Linked DNA regions of Oryzias latipes. The protein of the gene in region 1 purifies or fractionates together with the protein of each later gene. This does not show direct contact. Links are inferred from orthologs where the notes say so. Each region holds a gene or a part of one and is shown on either strand. Other genes may lie near its edges.

Region 1 (3,231 bases):
TCAGGTCATTGTTTTCTTTCTGAAATATGGAACTGAGACAATAATATGGTGATAATGGCGTGTAAGCAAATGATAATGACGTAAACCCTAACATTACTCCCTTTTTATCATTTGATGTATTTTAGGCACTGGAAACGCTTACAGGAGCCTTATTCCAGCGGCCGCCACTGATCGCTGCTGTGAAGCGCCAGCTTAGAGTCCGGACCATCTATGAGAGCAAACTGATAGAGTATGACCCGGAACGAAGGCTGGGTAAGAACCCGGCACTGCCACTTTGTATATTAGGCTCCATCCGTCACTTTGATGGTTGTGATGAAACTCACCTGGACAGGTGATAAAGTAGACCTTGGAACCTCCTGGGACTTAAGTTTATCAGCTTGAGAACTTCAGATTTAGTACCTGGAGCGTTTGCTGTTCACAAACAGGACCCACCAAGCCCCCCAGTGCTGGTTCCTGCGGCTGCTTTAGGAGTTGGAAGTTCAGTCGCTGATGTGTGGTGACGGCCGTGCTTTGCTGTTGTGTTGCAGGCATCTTCTGGGTGAGCTGTGAAGCAGGAACATACATCCGGACTCTGTGTGTGCACCTGGGGCTGCTCCTCGGCGTTGGCGGTCAGATGCAGGAGCTGAGGAGAGTCCGATCTGGCGTTTTGGGGGAGAAGGTCAGCCCTGTTACCTGTTGGTGTGAAGTCACCTGTCCAGAGTGTTGAGTGCAGCTCTGCTGCTTGGTGCAGACCTGAAAATTAGACTCTGGAACATTAACGGCAGCTGAGAATCTGAAGTGCGGTGTGTGTCCAAACTACGGAGTCTTTCTTCTGCCACATCTGCGCTGAGGGCTTGTGTTCTTCCAGGACAACATGGTAACCATGCACGACGTTCTAGACGCGCAGTGGCAGTTTGACCACAACAAGGACGAGACGTACCTGCGAAGGGTCATTTTCCCCCTGGAGAAGCTGCTGGTGTCGCACCGGCGGCTGGTGATGAAGGACAGTTCGGTGAGTCTTCCTGGAAGGTTTTCAGTGCATTGAGGCGGTGCAGTGTGGTCTGATGCAACACAACTTTGTAGGTCAACGCCATCTGTTATGGAGCAAAAATCATGCTGCCAGGTGTGCTCAGGTATGAAGACGGCATCGAGGTTAACCAGGACATTGTTGTCATAACAACCAAAGGAGAAGCCATTTGCACAGGTGAGGTTTGTGAAGGACATGTACAGGTGTGTCCAGGCCACATGATGACTAGAGAAGCTGCAGCAGCCTTCGGGCCGTGGCGACCTTTTATCTATCACCCTTGTCTGATGGCCTGTCGGTCCAAACGTTCGATTCCTGGATAAAGCAGACATAAGTGACAAATGCTTTCTGCTCTCCAGCTGTTGCCCTGATGACCACGGCCGTCATCTCCACATGTGACCACGGCTTTGTGGCAAAGATCAAAAGGGTGATCATGGAGCGGGACACTTATCCTCGGAAGTGGGGTCTGGGCCCAAAGGTATGACACTTCCTGCTTTTACATGCTGGTTCTTGGATTATTAAGTTGTGGTTGAGACCAACCAACCTGTTTCTGGTTAGGCGACTCAGAAGAAGGCGATGATTCAAAAGGGTCTCCTGGACAAACATGGAAAGCCCAACGGCAGCACGCCACAGGACTGGAAAGAGCACTATGTGGACTACAGGTATGGCGGTGGGCGGAGCAGTCCGTCTGACCTGCAGACAGTTATCCCTCTCTGAGCTGCCGTGCTCCTGGAGGGAGTCGCTCTGCTACAGAAACTCTCAGTTGGAGCTTCTTCCAGCACTGGTGTCATGAAGCCCACCTGAGGACATTACTGTGTTGATCACCTGCCAAACTAACAGAGTTCTGTTTCCACAGCGTCTCAGTGGCAGCAGCAGAAGCTCCTGACTCTTCAGTGAAGGTAAAAGATCTGCTTCTAAAGGTCACCTGCTCCAGTTCGGCTTTAAACTTTCCAATTTGACTTAATTTGTCAGTTTTTGCTGAATAAACTTTTCCCATAAAAGTTGGATTTTGGTTCCAAGGGATTTATTTAGAATATCTTATTTTATATGCAGCGAAGTGTTTTTTCTGTGGAACATGATGCAGGAACTCTATAAACCTGGGTTCTGTTCTGCATGAAGTCCACGTGAAAGGAAGCGAATGTGGCTTGAAGCAGCCTTTTGTGTTCCAGAGGAAAAGGGAGGCATCAGGCAGTGATGGCGAAGCGGCGCCCACGAGCGCGTCCCCAGAGGAGATGAAGAAAGAAAAGAAGAAAAAGAAAAAGGAGAAGCGGTCCAGAATGGAGGAGGCGGAGCCACAGGAGACGGACACAGTGCAAGATCAGGTCTGTAATAAACGAGGGAACACAATGGGCTGGACCATCCAGAAGCTCTGAACAGTCTCCTTTCCTACAGGTCACAGAAAGTGCCAAGAAAAAAAAAAAGAAGAAACGAGAAGAACCTGGCTCGGAGTGATGATGTCATAAACGGGCTTGTCCGAACTTCTAATGGGCCTCAGCAGTCTGTGGCGGTGTCATGGCGTCTGTGGGGATGGCGTGTTTTGTGCCTGCAGAAACGACCTCATGCTGACAACATTCAGAAGCAGAAGAGTTTTTGTATAGAAGTGATCAAATTCTTGTGTAAATATTTTACTTTTTTATGGCAAAATAAAATAAATTTTCTGTTTGGAACTGAACAGTTAATGGTGCACTGGTGAGCCAAAAAAAAGATCTGTGGTCTGCCGTAACCCTGGATTACAAGAAAATGGGTTAGATGGAACACTAGGGGTTGGTAGCCACATTTTTTGTATCTTCAACACAAATGTATTCATGTTGATTTAAAGAAAAAGGGTACTTTTCAATACGAGGCAAGAAGGGGGGGCAGGTGCTGAAGTATGTACCCGACGGGCATGAACCCGTTTTGTTTCTGATAGTTTTTAGGTCAATTTGTAACAACCTCGGTATGGATGAGTTTGGCTGATAAAGTCACTGAATGTGGATTTCAGTGAAAGGTCAGACGAGGTAGAAGCAGGGAGAGAGAGGAAGGTACTGTCCCACCAAAAACTGATTGATGGAAACTAAGGAGACAAACGCTGAAAGAGAAGAAGCAGTGATGCAGTGAAAGCCCACAGAGAGGAAACAGCTGGTCAGGAGATGGAACCAGTGAGAGGCCATGCCCAAAACCACCTGGACTAACTGACCCCCCCCAAGTCATGCAATTTCACATACAACAATGTCTAAGTGAAATCACAC
Region 2 (3,754 bases), on another chromosome or scaffold:
GAGATTTTTAAAAGTTGCTGAATAAACTAAGTAACACTTATGATTAAACATTTTGGATTTCTTTACATCATTTCAATTGGTTAAAAAAAACTCCAAAAACAGTAGAACATATGATACATTTTACTCAAAAGAAAAAAGTTGATAATTAATTAGTCATGGTGCTGCAGCAAATAATTAGCAATGATATTCATTCATGAACCTGTCAAGAAACCAATGTTTTTTTTCATAGTTGAACGTGTTTTTACTATTTCTGGCTTTAATAAAAGCTGTAATTTTCTCTTTATTAAAAAAAATTGGAAAATTACATACTCAATCTAGTTATTTGGGGGGGGGGGGGGGGGGGTAAAAGTAAAAAGACCAATATTGGTACCTATTGTAACTGTAACAACAAAAATGATGTATTCACTTTATGGTCTCTACAGAAAAGCCAGTTTAGCTGCTCAAAACAACAGCAGAAAGAAGTTTAACGGACAACGGTAGTTTGGTGACAAAGATCTGCAAAACCACGATATGAATGGAACATTGATTTTGTGCGTAATCTCAGAGGGTGCAGCACAGGTCAGACAAGCCAACAGAACGAATTGAAAATCATTTCTAAATTTTAATCCCTCTAAAATGTAGCTTTTTCCCGGATTTATTCCATTGCGCACCCTCTCGCGCACATGCGGAAAAACAGAGCCCCGCGTGCAGCGACAGCAAACACGTGTCTGTTACTGAATCAAGTTCTAATGTGAACCGGAAAGACGAAACAATCTTCAAAATATAAGTCTTCAACTTTTAAAATTTTGTCTCGGAATACACAAAATATGGGTAGTTGTACGTTAAATTTTCATTGCTTAAGTAGCTTTAATTACTTTAATAATATTACTAGCTACCTCTTTTTCTGGCTGATCTTTTTCAAGGGTTCTCACTGCAATTCACTTGCTATCACTCAATTCTAATTTTCTCTCACACCAAACTATCACAATTTATTCACGCATCACATTCACAAATGTTCATTTAGGTATTTCTGTTGCATGCTTCCGAGCAACTATAACCTTGAAACTCATTTAAACGTCTTTAACCACTGTTCTTTCTTTGTACCGCGCTCAGATCAGGTCCAAACTATCTCCGTCATTGAAACGTCCCTCCGCTGGACTTTTATTTTGAAGGTAACGCAAAGGAAGAAGCTTCAGAATTCTTCCGCTTTGAAGATTGTTGAAGTGTAGATTCAGTTGCTAGTTTAAGTAGGCGACATTTATCCTAACTGAAGCATAATTTATGCCTTCCTGGAATGTTTAAGAAGTTTTAAGGTAACATTATATTATTTCTTTTGTGTTTTAGTAAACAAAATTTGTGTTCAGCATGATATTAGCTTGCAAGCTAATATGCTAATCTGTTTGTTTATACGTTTATTTTCTTAGCTCCTCTAATTCACTGGTTGTTGCTAATCTGCTAGATATCTGGTTGTTAAACAAAAATAGACTGTAAAAGTCTTCTTATTTTATAAAGAAGGTTTCTGATAAAATAGGTTTGGTAATGTTTTATAATGGTCGTATTATTAGCCTTAGCTTAAACGATCATGTACAGCTACAGGTAAAGTTTCGCTTTTTATTTTTTTTATTTATTTATTTTTAAGCAAAGAAAGCTTTTTAACATTACTTACTAACAAATTTAACTGTGTTGGTCGGCAGATGGATGCAACATTTCCAAAAGAAGAGGAGGATAAAGGATTAGATCAGGAGTTGCCTGTGCAGATAAATGAGAATGCAAAAGTAACAGGAGATTTTCACCAGGAATTATTAGTGCCAATAGAAGAGGAAGAAAATGTCACAACCGTGACAGATAATAGGCTGGAGTTACCAGAACAGATGGAAGAAGATGAGACTAAAAGATTAAGTCAAGAAAACCACCTGGAGGTAGAGATGAAAGAAGGGGGGCATGAAAGAAAAATTGGGGAAAGTGATCAAGTGTTACCAGGGCAGCTAAAAGGGAAGGAAGAGCCGAGATTACTCGTGAACAATGAACGACTTATGTTAAAACAAAAGGAGAAAGATGGAACATTGAGAGAAACTGAGCAGGAATTATCAGTGGTGGAAAAAGAAGAAGAGGAGGAGGAGATGGAGGTTTCTTTGGCAAAACCAGAGGCAAATCCCATTATGACCCTTAACAAGGCCACACCCCCATATTCAGAGACCCGTCCTGAAAAAACAAGAGATGAGCAGACGCCAGTATCCTTGGTTGCAATGACCGTATGTATGGTTGAAAACAGCGAGGATGAAGAGGAGACTGAAGATTCAGACAGGTACTCACACACACACACACAGATCAATGAAGTGGTAGATCTTTTGTTTTTGCTTTTTACATCATATAACATGAAATGAAGGCGCTTTAAGGGGATAAAGATGATTCTAAATCCTCTTTTTCCCATCCCCAGTGATAGTTCATCCTCTTCTTCATCTTCTTCCTCATCCTCCTCTTCGCCCTCCCGTCCCTTGTTCGAGGATGATGATGATGAAGGCTTCAGCCAGCCGGTCCCTGTCAAAAGTAAAGATGAAATCTGCTTTGAGGTCAGTCTTGACACTTTGTTTTGAAAGCTCAAATAAAAGCACAAGCGTGTTACATTTCTATAACCCTAAATTTGCAGCTAAATTCACACTTTTTTTAGATTTATTTATAATCTAGCATGATGTAGTGTTCATTTAAAAAAAAGTTTTTCAAAAAGAATTTTTTTTTAAAGAAGCGAGTGGATCACGTTGTTCCTTTATTAATGTCCTTATAGATATGAAAGGAAAGAGCGTCCATTTAAATTGAACCAACTTTTAAAAAGAAAAGAAAAAAACACCTTGTATTTTTGATAACCGATTATTCTAACATAAAACATGCACTCTAGCTTTTTAGGATTTAAAGACATTACTTTTGTTCTTGCTTTTTACGTTTTGTTTTCTACATTAGAAATCAAGTCTATATTTTAGATGTCACATTGCCAAAGAGGCTTGACAAATTTGTGCTGGCAGTGCAGAAACAAAAACAATGGTTCAAAATAAATCAAAAGCAAAAGATATTGGGAAAATCGCTTCTTTTAATGTTTTATCCAACCAATTATTTGCCTTCACCAAGATTATTTAGTCATTCAGTTTTTTTCGGATTTTGCAGGGCATTAAAAAGGAAGTAAGTGATCTTGAGGGCAACCTAAAGCAACAGGCAGATGGTTGGACCTGAACAGGAAAAAAAGAAAATATCAAATTAAAGAAGAATCTTCTAAAGGCCCGTACACACCGGGACGAATATTTGCCAGGCGTTATTCGCCAGCGTTTTTCGCCACGTTTTTTGTGTTCACACCCAGGCGATTTTCGCTGACGATGAGTGGAGTGAACATGCAATTTCATTCCCTGACATTAGATGGCGCTTAATGTAAAACAGAAATACTCCTGTACACAAGGTGGCGCTGCGCAACTTTATGCTTCTTAAAGTCGCTTTTCACTCAGAAGAAGAGAGCAAGTATTTACACGCTTGTCAGAATCAAACAAAGAAAACATGAATATTTCAAGCACCAGTAGCTCCAACTGGTGCTTCGTTCGGGGATATTTTAGAATGTCCGTCATTATTGCTTCGCGGCTGTGTGTAGACGCTACTTGGCGTCTATCTTCTTCGCTGGTATGTGTGCTCAGCAAGGCAGTTTTGTGTTTGAGCGCCCCCAAGTTGTTTTACTGTAACTTCAGAAGCTCCAGACACGTGAGCAAAAGCGCCATTCTCATTGGTCGAGTAGATTTCG

Evidence for each region.
Region 2: the proteins of dkc1 (region 1) and H/ACA ribonucleoprotein complex non-core subunit NAF1 purify together in Homo sapiens (co-immunoprecipitation; 7 studies listed by BioGRID and IntAct, counting the BioPlex papers as one, with this or other methods). This does not show direct contact. The link is inferred for Oryzias latipes from reciprocal best matches to the Homo sapiens genes DKC1 and NAF1.

The regions. Positions count from the first base shown.
Region 1 is NC_019880.2:44,477-47,707, reverse strand, and holds the end of dkc1 (H/ACA ribonucleoprotein complex subunit 4), read left to right. Parts: intron 1-125; coding exon 126-252; intron 253-527; coding exon 528-658; intron 659-847; coding exon 848-991; intron 992-1,062; coding exon 1,063-1,183; intron 1,184-1,219; exon of another isoform or gene 1,220-1,296; intron 1,297-1,362; coding exon 1,363-1,481; intron 1,482-1,561; coding exon 1,562-1,665; intron 1,666-1,859; coding exon 1,860-1,902; intron 1,903-2,172; coding exon 2,173-2,325; intron 2,326-2,395; coding exon 2,396-2,455; 3' UTR 2,456-2,675; downstream 2,676-3,231.
Region 2 is NC_019859.2:6,670,486-6,674,239, forward strand, and holds the start of H/ACA ribonucleoprotein complex non-core subunit NAF1, read left to right. Parts: upstream 1-1,160; 5' UTR 1,161-1,292; intron 1,293-1,673; coding exon 1,674-2,284; intron 2,285-2,416; coding exon 2,417-2,549; intron 2,550-3,754. UniProt on the Homo sapiens protein: RNA-binding protein required for the maturation of box H/ACA snoRNPs complex and ribosome biogenesis.